2 linked regions of the Mus musculus genome follow. The protein of the gene in region 1 binds, or shares a complex with, the protein of each later gene. Each region holds a gene or a part of one and is shown in the gene's direction. Other genes may lie near its edges.

What was found. The genes of interacting proteins can lie anywhere in the genome.
Region 2: the proteins of Ptprg (region 1) and Cntn6 are in contact, whole or in part, in a crystal structure (PDB 5E5U), measured with the Mus musculus proteins. Residues at the interface, in NP_033007.2 of Mus musculus: Val225, His226, His227, Lys229, Phe288, Thr290, Gln292, Gln293, Asp294, His295, Val296, Lys297, Ser298, Val299, Glu300, Tyr301; in NP_059079.2 of Mus musculus: Arg129, Val132, Arg135, Gln138, Gly139, Val140, Val141, Leu142, Leu143, Cys144, Gly145, Met222, Gly223, Tyr225, Glu226, Pro227, Lys228, Glu230, Leu252, Asn306.

Annotation. Positions count from the first base shown.
Region 1 is NC_000080.6:12,150,358-12,157,445, forward strand, and holds part of Ptprg (receptor-type tyrosine-protein phosphatase gamma isoform 1 precursor), read left to right. Parts: intron 1-1,658; coding exon 1,659-1,708; intron 1,709-3,300; coding exon 3,301-4,069; intron 4,070-7,088.
Region 2 is NC_000072.6:104,858,044-104,865,494, forward strand, and holds the end of Cntn6 (contactin-6 precursor), read left to right. Parts: intron 1-1,335; coding exon 1,336-1,448; intron 1,449-3,760; coding exon 3,761-3,929; intron 3,930-5,083; coding exon 5,084-5,184; 3' UTR 5,185-5,363; downstream 5,364-7,451. UniProt on the Homo sapiens protein: Contactins mediate cell surface interactions during nervous system development. Participates in oligodendrocytes generation by acting as a ligand of NOTCH1.

The DNA of each region.
Region 1 (7,088 bases):
GTCACACACACAAAAATAGAAAACACCACTACATGGTGGTCCCCAGAGATCATGTAAAAGGAAATGAGTTGGTGAGTTTGTACCTGGAGTTTCATTTTACAAGATAAGGAAGTTCTGGAGATAGATGGTGGAGAGGTCAGTTACACAGTAAAGCAAATACACAGAACATTACTGGTGCAGACACTAAAAATGACTAATATGATAAATTTCATATTCTTTGCCTCTTCATACAACTTGATAGACACCAAGGTGGCATTGCTTAAGAACACCCACATAGGAAAGCAGAGCTGTAAGAAGCATGAACACCAGATAGGGCAACAAGCATTGAAGATAAACTCATGTGACCATGTAAAACTTATGTAGAGACTATCAGATACAAGCAGGAAGAGAGTACCCAGCAGTACACAATGAGAGGAGCAATAGAGGCGTTGCTGGGAAAGTAAAAGGATTAATTCAAGATAGACTATAGGGCTGGCAAAATGGCCCCATTTGTGAAGGCACTTACAGCCAGACCTGATGAGCTGAGCTCAGTCCTCAGGACCCACGTGATTTACTGAGAGAACCAACTTCGCCAAGTTGCTCCACCGTGTGCACCCCCCTCTCCCACATACATCCCATTCCCAGCCTTCTAATAAATATATACATAAATGTAATACAGATTTAGAAAACTGTAAAGTGCCTGGTATGGTGGCACACGCCTTTAATCCCAGCACTTGGGAGGCAGAGGCAGGCGGATTTCTGAGTTTGAGGCCAGCCTGGTCTAAAGAGTGAGTTCCAGGACAGCCAGGGCTACACAGAGAAACCCTGTCCTGAAGAAAAAAAAAAAAAGGAAGGAAGGAAGGAAGGAGAGAGAGAGAGAGAGAGAGAGAGAGAGAGAGAGAGAGAGAGAGAGAGAGAGAGAGAAAGAAAGAAAAAGGAAGGAAGGAAGAAAGAAAGAAAGAAAGAAAGAAAGAAAGAAAGAAAGAAAAGAAAGAAAGAAAATAGTAAATTGTTGTAAGTTAAAGATACATGTTAGAGTCATTGAAAGGATGAGAAATAGTGAACAAAGGGGCAATAGAGAAAAAACACTGGAGTGATATAATCCCATTTAAATAAAAATATATGAAACCCAGAAACCCAACAGTACTTGAAAATGCTTCCTGGGCTGGAGAAATGGCTCAGAGGTTTAAGAGCACTGGTTGCTCTTCCAGAGGTCCTGAGTTCAATTCCCAGCAACCACATGGTGGCTCACAACCGTCTGTAATGAGATCTGGTGCCCTCTTCTGCCCTACGGGCATACCTGCAGGCAAAATTATGTATACATAATAAATAAATCATTTTTAAAAAGAAAGAAAATGCACCTTAATGTAGTTGCTCAGGTGTTAGATGTAATCGAATCCTGGGCATCTCACTGTTGTTGAAGTTCTATCTCAATGAAACAAAACCTTAATAATTACAGAGTTTAGGTGAATTGCTTGGCAGAAACAGTTGGCTAGATCCCAGTCATCTGAATATGTCTGTATGACTTGGAGGGGGAATGGTTGGAAAGAGTACAAAGAAATAATATTTGTAACATGAAAATTATGTGTAGTTTAGATTTGTGTGTCCATTGGAAGGTTTTATTGGGAGCACATCTGAGCATTGTGTGTTGTTTACATCATAACTTCTTTGTTTCTCAGCTAATACTACCCGGATCTTCCAAGGGACCAGGATTGTGAAAACAGGAGTGGTAAGTGGAGAACGCTGGCTGCTCTGTTACAAGTGGTAATTTGGATGCAGTCAAAGCTGTGACCACAAGGTGTCAGCATAATGTTGTTGAACTGCACACATACAGCCCTTCAGAGATAAGCATGCATTTTGCTGTATAATTTACTGTGCCATGGAGGAATATTGGTGGCTTCTGATGTATAATTTTGTCAAAATAAAAATATTTCAGATATGTAATTATGAATGACCGCCAGAATCAAGTGATACAGGAGTTCATCCACTCAGAGCCCTTCACTCACCTTATGGTGCAATGAAGAGGTTGTCGCCCACATCTACTCATAAGAAATGACCAGCGCTGGGATAATTGTAGCCTGAAACTCACTAAGTACATCCCAGTTTTCAGACACAAGTTATTCTGTTTGCATCTTCAAAGACCTTAGGGTGAAGGTGAAGAAACTGAGTTAAACAGATGGGCCCATCATCACACAGTGAGGCAAGGAGTCAACTCAACATTCAGTTGAAGGGCTTTTCTGTGTTTGGCGCTTAGTCTTATGTGAGAGTTGATTTTTGGTACTCATGGCTATCCTTAAACTGTAAGGTTTCCATGTGAAGTTGAATGAAGTTCCAAAATGTGTCTTGCTCTGATTAACTGTTTATACTAGTATAAGTAGTGAGGTATAGTTTGGGGTTTTCTGTGCCTGCTTGTAAGGGCTGAACTTGTGCTGTTATCCCCGAACACATCCTGGTTTGGGTAGAAGATGCCGTATATGAGTATGCCCCTGTTCAGCATAAGGAAAGGATGAGCTGAGGTTTGTCCACGTGCAGCCCTGCCACCGAGGCTTCACAGTCATGCACTTTGAATAAGCTCCCTATCCCCTACACACCTCAGTTTCCCTACCCAGAGAATGGGTAGCATGGTGAGCCCCAGCACAGGGGTGGCACATCCTAAGAGGAGTGCCTGTTGTCACCCTGAGTGTTGCAGGCGCAGAGGCAGAGTCTGTACTGTGGAGAAATGCAGACACTCCAAAGGCTCTATAGCTGGGCTGCATGCAACCAGAAGCTGCAGAGACAGGAACTACGTCTTCAATCCCATGTCCAGAGTATGCCTGCCGCTTCTGCCACTGCCATTGCTGACCTGGGCTGGCTACCCTCCCTCTGGCTTTGTTGACTTCCTTGCTGTATGACAGTGGCCTTGACTCTGTCTGCTGATTTTCCACATCTCAGAGCTAGGCAGTCACCTGCAAAACAGCACACATTGACTCCTGCCTCTCACCACCCCCTCCCCATGATGGGTTGACCTGGACATTTTATGACTTACTCGTAATGCTTCTGTTTCCCCATCTAGGCCAGCCCTGAGCCACATCAGAGAACACCTGAGTTCGATACACTAGTTAAGGTTTCAATTCAAAGTAATTTTAAAGCCACTGAAGTAAGACTTGGTCACCCTGGGCCAGCACTGGTCAGCTTTCACACTGTAGCTTATGAAAACTCATAACAGAGGAGACTACAATCTGGGTGTTTGCAGAACAGGGCCTCGAGTTGATTCTTGGTTACTGATACACTCTACATTTTTTCTTCATCTCCTTTTCTCCACACCCTGGGTGGCCCTTTCAGCCGACAGCCTCTCCTGCCTCTTCAGCAGACATGGCCCCCATCAGCTCTGGCTCTTCCACTTGGACATCCTCCGGCATCCCCTTCTCATTTGTTTCCATGGCAACTGGGATGGGCCCTTCCTCCAGTGGCAGCCAAGCTACAGTGGCCTCTGTGGTCACCAGCACACTGTTGGCAGGCCTGGGCTTCGGTGGTGGTGGCATCTCCTCCTTCCCCAGTACCGTGTGGCCCACGCGCCTTCCCACCGCATCTGCAGCCAGCAAGCAGGCAGGGAGGACAGTTCTTGCCACCACCGAGGCCTTAGCTTCCCCTGGGCCGGATGTCGACTCGGCACCGACGAAGGACAGCGAGGGTACAGAGGAGGGAGAGAAGGAGGAGAAAAGCGAGAGCGAGGATGGTGAGCGAGAGCATGAGGAGGAAGAGAAGGACTCTGAGAAGAAGGAGAAGAGTGAGGCTACTCACACAGCCGCAGAGAGTGACCGGACTGCACCTGCCCCCACCCCCTCTTCCCCTCATAGGACTGCAGCGGAGGGAGGACATCAGACTATACCTGGGCGCAGGCAGGACCACTCTGCCCCTGCCACAGACCAGCCGGGCCACGTTGCCCCAGACTTGGATCCCCTTGTGGACACAGCCACCCAAGTGCCCCCAACAGCCACAGAGGAACATTATTCAGGGAGTGATCCCAGGAGGCCCGAAATGCCATCTAAAAAGCCTATGTCCCGAGGGGACCGATTTTCTGAGGATAGCAAATTCATCACAGTTAACCCAGGTAAGTGGGGTTGGTCCACATGTGAGGTTTGGGGCTGCTGTGAACAGGCTGGACCTATTTCTAAACGTTGGGGACCTGGAGAATGAGGACTGGGGAAGTAGTTAGCTCCTTGGGGTTATCCGTGTCCCTGGTGTTCTATGCATGAAACCACCTCTTTTTGTGTCACCCTAATGAGATGCATTCTCTCACTGGAACAAGTCTTTCTCTATCTTTCTGTCTATTTCAGAAGAAGCCAAGGCCTCAGACAGATCTAAATGAAGAAAGTAGGCACTGGATCTAAGTTTGCTCACTCTGACTTTATTCCTGCGGGTGGGGAGGGTAATAGCCAAAGGAAACTCCCTGGGATCCTCAGGGAGTTGACACCACTGTGGATCACTTGCCTCAAAAGCATGAAGTTGGAGCCCCAATCCTATGTTTTGTTTTGTTTTTTAAAGCAAAGCACAGTTACATGCACTTGTAACTGCTGCAGTTGGTGGACAGAGTCAAGCAGATTCCTGGGACTCAGTGGCCAGATAGCCAGCTTTGTGAGTTTTATGTTAGTGAAAGAACCTGTCTCAAAAGCCAAGATGGGTGGCTCTTGAGGGTCAGCATCCAAAGTTGTTCTCCAGTTTTCACATGCATGTATACATGATACACAAACTTGAGTGCTCACACACGTACATGCACACATAAACACCCCACACACCCACATACACAAATGTACACTCACACCCACATATACACATGCACACAAATACACACACTCACACATACACTCACATGCACACACACTCACACATGCATACACACATGCACACATACAGTCACACACACACACATGCTTTTATTCCTTAATCATTTATTAAATACAAACAATTTATTTCCTGGTAGCTATTGTTGTGCTAGGCACTAGGCTGGATAATCTGCCAGGGGAACTCCTTACCTGCATCCTGGCAGAGGGGGATGACAGAAAGATGACTGATGGCAGCTTGCTAGAGTACATTCCAAGGAGTTAGGTAGCAGGGATGTTGGAGAACAAGCTGCTGACATGTGTGTTTTTGGCAAGACAGGAAACTACCCAACTGGGATGTTTGCTTATGAAAGAATGATAAAAGATATAGTTAGGATGTTGTGACTGACAGTTATGAGGAGGATAGAGACCCACCCTAAATGAGAAAAAGTGACATGTCCAATCTGGAGCCTCCTGGCTTTAGTAGTCCATGATCATACCTCATCAGTAAGGGTAGCTGTGACAAGTCACGGGTAGCCTTATGAATGACCCCATCTATAGCAGGGGAAGTAGACGTGGCTGGAAAGCTGGCTGTCCTTAAGCCCCAGGTGGCTACATGCAATTCCCCATTTCCAGCTGGGGAAGCAGACGTGGCCGGCTTGGCCCCCACTCCCTGGGATCCTCAGGTAGTTGACACCATTGTGGATGTCACATGCTCAGATCTTAATGAACCATCCTGACGCTTGTGCTATGGCATGAGGGGCTGTGACTGTTGTGAGGGCTTTTCTTAATAAGAAACCCTTCGTGTTGCCAGACTGCAAGACATTTAGCAACAATGTTTTTTTCATTTAAGCTGTTGTGGAATTATGAGTGCAAAAAAAAAAGGCAACTGGTAAATATTTATTTGCTTTTGCACTTGTAAACATTAAAATTCATCTAAAGCTGAGATCTCGTATGTTAACATACAACTTAGAATACATTTTCATGTGTTGAATTACTTTCCCTCAGAGCTGCTATGAACTAATTTTTTTCCTAAGAAGGGGTCTCCCATGGGTATTGTTAAGTGTGGGGCAGTTTGATGGAAAGGCACAGGAGCCTTGTATGGATGAAGGAAATGTGGAGCCATGGATGGTGCTGTTGTGTAAACTAGACATTTCCCTGAGAAACTGCTGGGTAACAGTTGAATTTCTTGCAGTTAAATATAATAAATAAGGAGTTCCTTTTTACTGGATGCCAGGCTCTAGACAAGGCATTAGGAAAAGACCATTGATGGAGACTTCTATTCTCTTGGGGGTACATGTTCATGGGAAAGGTTTAGGATCCCGCAGCAAAAACTGAGTGACCTTAAATAGCATTTGCAGTGGGACCAGTGTAGGTAGTTAGCCACTCACAGACCCATGGAAGAACATTCTAGGCTGCTGGAATGGCAGGAGGAGAGAACCTAAACCAGGAGTGAGTTTGGATGGCTTTAGAAGCCGAAGTGGACCACAGAGAGGAAGAAGCAGTAATAAGGATGGAGTTCAAACACTGGGAAAGCCAAGATAGTGAAGGGAGCGTTAGCTAGGCTGAGGGTAAGATTTTAACTGAAATGGCAAACCCAGGGATAAATACCAGCAAGAGAAGTGACTTGTGCCATTAACTTTTCCTGTGTGTACAGATGGGCATAGTGGTGTGGCATGAGCCAGTGTGTTTCCTCTTTTAAGAGAAGGGGTGGAGTTGGACTGCATGCATTCAGCCAGCTTCTGAGAAACATTTCTTTTACAGAGTGTCAGAAAACAGTGTCTGTTATGTGCTTGAACTGGGAAGCTGAAAGGTGGGGTTCCAAGACTGATTCTTGTAAGAGGAAGCAGGAGGTGGACCCCAGACTCCAGGAAAAGGGAGAAGAGAGTAGAGCTTCCATCCCTCTGGTCAGAACACATTTAAAGTTTGTAGGAGTAGCTACAACTCAGTAGCTCCCTCTCTGCCCCGTTCACTAGACCTTCAAGCAAGTTTCGGCTTCTCTGCAGAATAAAGTTGATAAGTGCCTCTCAGTTGGGCAGAAGGCCATGCTGATAAAGCTCTGGTCTTATTAGTGCTGAGAAGAAGGGAGTGCCTGCAGCCAAAGTAACAATGGGAGCTTTGAGGTGGCACCAGGAGGTCTATTTGTAGTCTGGATGAACACTAAGGAGTAGCTCCAAGTACCTGGAGTTAAAATGACCTACAGGTTTGATAATGTAGCTACTTTGACCGAGTACTTCTTTTTGTGCCAAAAGCCCTTTCAAGCCTCAGCATCACACATACCATACAGGCATGGTGGCCCAGACCAGTAAC
Region 2 (7,451 bases), on another chromosome or scaffold:
TCTTTATACACCACACATTCAGAAAAGGAACAACTTGCTGGGCAGTTTGATCTCTGTCTCGGCTTTCCAGTTGAACCATTTTTAAATCTCTCCTTAGTTTTTCTCAGTCTTGAAATAAGCATGTCATCCCTTTGAATAGCAGCATGTTGTCATGGTGAAACCATTGGACACTGGACAAGAACTAATAGTCCTACAATCTGTTCTGACTCAACTACTTGTTCGTGGTATACTTTGGGACAAGTGACTTTTTACTCTATAAGTCACATTACAGGTATCATATGTAAATAATTAAAAATTGAACTGCATCTAGTATTTTAGAATGATAATTCTACATCCTCCTTTCCATATGTGATACTCCTCTACTCGAACACAACATTAATTTCAAAGGACCGGGTTCAGAATAAGTGTTATTTGGAGTGATCAATGTATTTGCGAAGATTTTTCTCTGTTTTCTGTTCTCAGAGCATTATTAATAGTATAAAGAATAGTTTTTTCAGTGCACAGCCACCTTTGCTTGAACTATCATAAATATGTATCCAAATTAAGGCCTGTAGTCATATGATTGACAACCACCAGATTTTTTTTAAGAATTTTTATCCTGGGCTATCCTATATAGAAGAATGTTCAAGCTTTTTGTACTGTTCACAGTTGTGATTTCAGTCACACACATTGAATGACAAGTAGTCTATATGGGCAACTGGCCAAGGAACATGGCCATGCAATAAGAGGCCCAGAAGGAATGTGTTCACTTGGTGACTCTCCTTCTCTTGAGGCTCTGCAGCATTCCGGCAGGGATCTAAAAATTATCCTATAAATATGCATTTCATATTTCATGTGTGTTATTTTGCTTAAAGTATCTTAAATTGATTTTGTTAACTTCACTGAAAAACAGTAATATAGCATTATGGATTTGATGAGCATTCACAATGAACTGTATATAAAAAGCATGAACACAATATTTATGTGACTATGCATCTATATAGAATGCTTCAAACTTTAGTTAGCATTAATAGCCAATTTCAAAATTATATAACCCAATCCTCCATCTTTTTCTATATTGTAAAGTAAGCAAACTTAATATCAATGATTAATATATTAATACTGGACAGTCAGCAAACTATTATTAATTCATAAGTCTGTCACAAAGACCTTCCCAAATAATCAAAATTTGAATAAATTTGCTTGCTATGATTAGAATCAGTATGATATTTAAAATAACAATAAACCATTTCATTCCTTTTACGCTAATGATGGGATTTTTACTTTTCTTGTCATGAGGCTGCATTATACTGTTAACTAATTAATATTCATTTGGATCTTTATTGTATTTTAAAGCTCCTAGCCAACCACCAGCAAACATTGCCTGGAAGCTGTCAAATTCTAAATTATGCTTGAACTGGGAGCATGTAAAAACCATGGAAAATGAGTCTGAAGTGCTGGGCTACAAGGTAAGTATTTACTTTTTTATTTAATCTAATATGTTATTAAAGATTCAGCAATGTCATAATCAAGAAGAAATGAAATTTGTACCTATGTATCTATTAGAATTAAAATACTTTTCAATCTACTCTTGCTTCTCTTTTTAAATTTTATTTTATTAGATTTTTTATTTATTTACATTTCAAATGTTTTTCCCCTTCCCAGTTAAATCCTCTATTGCCACCTCTTTCTCCCTGCTTCTGTGAGAGTATTGCCTCCCTCACCTGCCATTCCCACCTCAGTGCCCTAGCATTTCCCTAGTTGGAGGTGGTCATCGAACCTCCAGAGGACCAAGGAGCTCCCCTCATGTTAATGTCAGATATGGTAATCCTCTGCTACATATGCATCTGGAGTCATGGGCACCTGGAGCCCTCCATGTGTACTCATTGGTTGCTGGTTTAGTCCTTGGCAGCTTGATGTTGATGTTCTTCCTATGAGTTTGCAAACCCCTTCAGTTCCTTCAGTCCTTCCCCTAACTCCTCCACTGGGGACTTATGCTTATTCTGATGGTTGGCTGTGTGCATCCATATCTGTATTGGTCAGGCTCTGGCCCAGCCTCTCAGGGGACAGCTACCCTATGCTCCTGTCAGCAAAATCTTCTTGGAATCAGCAATAGTGTCTGGGGTTAATGTCTATAGATGGGATAGATTCCCTAGGCAAGGCAGACACTGGATGGCCAGTTTCTGTTCCACTGTTCGTCCCTGCATTTCCTTTTGACAGGAGGAATCCTGGATTACTCTTTTTGAGATGGGTGGGTGGTCCCATACCTTAATTGGGGGTAGTTCCTATCCACTGGATATGGTCTCTGCATGTTCTCTTTCCCCTTTGTTGGGTATTTCTGCGAATGCCATAACTGTTGAGTCCTGGAAACCTCTTGGGTCCCTGTCATCTGGAACTTTCTAGTGGCTACCAAGTTCTCCATTCACCACTGCTACACACCTCCATTCAATTTCCTGATCCACTGAACTTTTCCTTTTTCTCCTCCCACACTTGATCCTGCTCCCTTTTCCCTTCCCTCCTCTCTCCCTCCCAGACCTCTCCCTCTAGATACCTCCCATGATTATTTTTCCCCCTTCTGAGTAGGACTGAATCATCCATATTTTGGTCTTCCTTCTTCTTGGGTTTCATATGATTTGTGAGTTGTATTGTGAGCATTCTGAGCCTTTTTGTTTGTTTGTTTGTTTGTTTGTTAATATCCACTTATCAGTGAGTATACACCATGTGTGTTCTTTTATGACTGGGTTACCTCACTCAGCATGGTATTTTCTAGTTCCGTCCACTTGCCTGTGAATTTCATGAAGCCGTTGTTTTTAATAGCTGAGTAGTACTCCATTGTGTAAATGTACCACATTTTTCTGTATCCACAGTTGAAGGACATTTGAGTCCTTTCCATCTCCTGGCTACAATAAATAAGGCTGTTATGAATATAGTGGAGCATATGTCCTTGTTGTATGTTGGAGCATATTTTGGTTATATACCCAGGAATGGTGTAGCTGAGTCCTCAGGTAGTAGTAGTATGTCCAATTTCCTGAGGAAACATCAGACTCCTTTCCAGAGTGGTTGTACCAGCTTTCAATCCCACTAGCAATGGAGGACTGTTGCTCTTTCTCTACATCCTTCCCAGTATCTGCTGTCATCTGAGTTTTCGATAAACATTGTATGTTCTAGTTTCAGTAACGGATATGGAGTAACATGGTATGGAGAATAAAAAATCTAAGTCCTACAGTATGAAATCATTTTTCTCCACATGATTGCTTTTGCTATCAAGAAATTACAGGTTTTTATTGTAGATGCAATTCATGATTGATGTTAAGGAGTAAGTTTAAATGGAGTATAAAAAAATTAGGACACAGTAGATATGGGCTTTTAACAGCACAAAAGGAATCTCACAAGAATATTATTAAGTATTAAGAGCATCTCTGAGTGCCCAGGGTAAGTGATCCCCATTAGTGTTAATGTAAATTAACTCTGGGCAGACATACATATTCAGACATTTGTAATGGATCCAAACTGAAAGTGTGTTTTCATAGTAATCCCTATAACTAATGTACTCAAACTCCATACCTGAGACATGGATCCCAAAGAAATATTATTTCCCAATAATAAATGTAATGATAAGCCAACCTGAATGTTTGCATGTAAGGAGTACAATGTTGATAATGGTTCTTTTAACATAAGTGAGAGCATTGATTTAAACTTGTTCCTTGTCCCTCATCATAACAGCATCTGAACCCTCAGTACCCACCAAACCCATCTGAACTTGACTCTCCCTTTCGTACAGATCCTCTATCGGCAGAACCGACAGAGTAAAACTCATATTTTGGAAACAAATAATACATCTGCTGAACTCCTGGTTCCATTTGAAGAAGACTATTTGATTGAAATCAGAACAGTCAGTGATGGTGGAGATGGAAGCAGCAGTGAGGAAATCAGAATTCCAAAAATGTCAAGTGAGTTGAGTTGCTGCTTTGTCTGATCTGGGCACCTGCAGCACAAATGTTCCCAGGGACTTTCAGGTTGTTAAGTAAATGTTTTGTGACAAAGCAAAAGGTCTGTGCTTCCATTTTCAATTGTGAGCCAAAAGTGACAAGCCAGTTTTTCTCATAACAATGGGTAGGCGTTTTTACAATTTTCTTTTTTTTTTATTATGTATTTTCCTCAATTACATTTCAAATGCTATCCCAAAAGTCCCCCACACCCTCCCCCCTCCCACTCCCCTACCCACCCATTCCCATTTTTTGGCCCTGGCGTTCCCCTGTACTGGGGCATATAAAGTTTGCCTGACCAATGGGCCTCTCTTTCCATTGATGGCTGACTAGGCCATCTTTTGATACATATGCAGCTAGAGTCAAGAGCTCTGGGGTACTGGTTAGTTCATAATGTTGTTCCACCGATAGGGTTGCAGATCTCTTTAGCTCCTTGGATAATTTTCTTATTTGAAAACAAAATAATAAATAAATAAATAAATAAATAAATAAATAAATAAATAAGGTAGAAGGAAATGAAGTTAAGAAAGAGAAAGTTAAGAATAAAATCAAAGAAAATTAATGAAAAGAAAAAGGGAAATAATTTCATGATTCACTATTTTTGCACAAAATGTAGGATTTTTTTTCTTTCAAATGGTCAAAGGTCTCAAAGAAGAAACAGTGAAATTGAAGCATCTATCCCTATGTGGTTCTTTCTATGTCCGTGGCAAACATCAACAATCGGTCATAGCATTTATACTAAGCTGAAGGCTTCTCAATCATGGTGAAAGGAGGCCAGTTCCACAGTTATCAAGTAATACTAACTACTAGTTTTGCATTTAAAGCATCAAGTTCACATCTTCATGAAACTTCTAAGTAGAAGTCATTGGTCACCAAATGTTGGCCAGTTCTAATATAATTTCAAGTAGTCCTCACCAATTTGGGCACTTTTACTATTCATTTTTACATTTGAGGTGGCATCTTATAATAGGAGGAGATGTGTCTTAAATTTACATTTAATATAGTAAAATATTATTATTAAAAAACAAACATGACAGCGTAATTTCTGTCTCATGAAATTAATACAGTAGGCAGTTTTACGTCCTGTGAGGTAATTCTTTGATTTTTGTATTTTCCAGGTTTGAGTTCCACAGGAGTTCAGATCTCGAAGCCCAGCACCCAGTCCCTGTCAATGGTTGGGGTTTTTTACTGTTTTGCTATTCACCCACTTTCGAGATGAACCAATCCATGGATCTTTGGGAATTTTCTGAGAGCAAACCATTCTGTAAATCCATTCTCCAGCCTCTATCACAAGACATATTCTTAATACAGACTTGTTTGGAAAGAAGAAAATGTATATTACTAAGCTCTTGTAAATATCTGTGGTACATTAATAAAACAGTTTTAAACACTTTGAAACACTTTGAATTTTAATGTTCACACATCATTACACATTTGAGGGTGCCAAATTAATCGGAGGACATAAAACTGCTGTGTCTTTCAGGTGACTTATAAGAAGAATATAAATAACCACCTCAATAACGATTATAGATATGAGACAGGTGTAAATTCATGTCCATTTTATGTGCTCCAGGTAATATACTTCACTATTTACAGTCCTTAGCACCATTTGAAAGAAAATACAATGGCTTGTTTATAGTTGTATATATCTCCCAGAGATCATATTTTCCAAATCCTGGTGCTGCAGTTTCTGAATCCAGTTAGAAAAAATGGTTAGACTTGACAAAATGTTGGTATGCACAGTGATCTTTCTTCTTGGGTTTTATAAGAAAAGAGCAAATACAGAAGTTTTAGGCAAGGAAACAGAAATGAAGAGAAACCAGGACTCATTGAAAATAACAAGTTTTCCCCTAAATTTACATCTAGTGAACAAATCCCTGGGACATCTTATAAACTGATTATACTCTACATGGCCTTACTTTTACATAGTAATAAAAATCTGGAAACAGATTTATTTGATAAGATTCCCTACATTTTATTCACAGTGATCTTCTCTCTCTTTTTTTTTAAATCAAACTTTTCTTTGATCATTACTATAATCGTGATTGAAAACTCCTAGTGTGATGAATCTGGTTTTAGTGAGATTCTGTGCGCTAACTCTGCTCTAGGGATAATCAATCCCAGTAACAGCCCCAGCCCTGCATGGTCCCGAAGCACAGTCTGCAGAGAAGAGTAAGGCGAGTGCCAGTGTTCTGACCCTTCTGTTTTGCCCACTACAATGACGGATTTCCTGCTGCTGTTGACTTGCTCCACTGATTTTCTTTCTGGAAGACTGGATTTCACTTTTTCACATGGTTTAAGGTTTTATTTAAAAACAACACAACAACTTGAAATTTTCTTATAGTCCACAAGTCATGAACTCTTCATAAGTTGAATATGCATACATATATATATGTTCTTTTATTGAGATTTTCATACATGTATATCAAGTGCCTTGGTCAAATTGATCCTAATTCCCTCCTCTCTGATTCTTTCCTCTATACATCACCACCAATTTTCTTCCCCACTTCTTAGTTCCTGCTCTCTTCTTCTTTAAGCCCCTTGAGGTCCTTTAATGCTACTCATTTGTGCATGGGTATGTGAAAATCTGTTGAGGAATGGATAGCCAATCCGGGTCCAACTTCTGAAAACTTATTTTTACTTCACAGCAGCATCAGTTGCTAATAAATAGCCTTATAGTTAGGGGTGAAAATCAAGAACTCCTCTTCCATTCATGCTGGGAATTTTTCTGGCTTCATCGTGTTCAGATTTTGTACTTGCCGTCAAAGCCTGTTACTGAGTTCTTGTGTGATGGTTCTGTCATGTTTGCAAATAGTTTTTCATTTTTTTTTTTTGATATTTACTTATTTTTTTACTCTCAATATTTTATCCTCATATTTAATATGTCAACCGTTTTACTGTTCCACATCTCATACCTCCTCCCCATCCCTCTGAGTCCTGGTGGATGTCCCACTGTCCACCTCACCTGACCTTTAAACTCCCAGGGGCCTCAAGTCTCTTGAGGGTTAGGTACAGCATCTCTGAATGAACACAGACCTGGAAATCCTCTACTGTATGTGTGTTGGGAACCTCATATCAGCTGGTGTATTCTGTCTTTTTTGATGATCTAGTGTTTGAGAGATCTCAGTGGTCCAGTGACACATTTCTTGCAACAAGGCCACACTTCCTAATAGACTTCCTAATTAAGACTGCTGGTCCTCCTACAGGGTTGTCCTCCTTCTCGGCTTCTTTCAGTCTTTCTCTAATTCAACAACAGGGTTCAGCTGCTTTTGCCCATTGGTTGGATGCAACTATCTGCCTCTGACTATTTCAGCTGCTTGTTGGGTCTTTCGGAGTGCAGTCATGCTAGGTCCCTTTTTTGAGAGCATTCCATAGCCTCAGTAGTAGTGTCAGGGCTTAGGACCTCCCCGCAAGCTGGATCCCACTTTGGTCTTGTGGCTGGACCTTTTTTCCTCATGCTTTGCTCCATTTCCATCCTTGTAATTC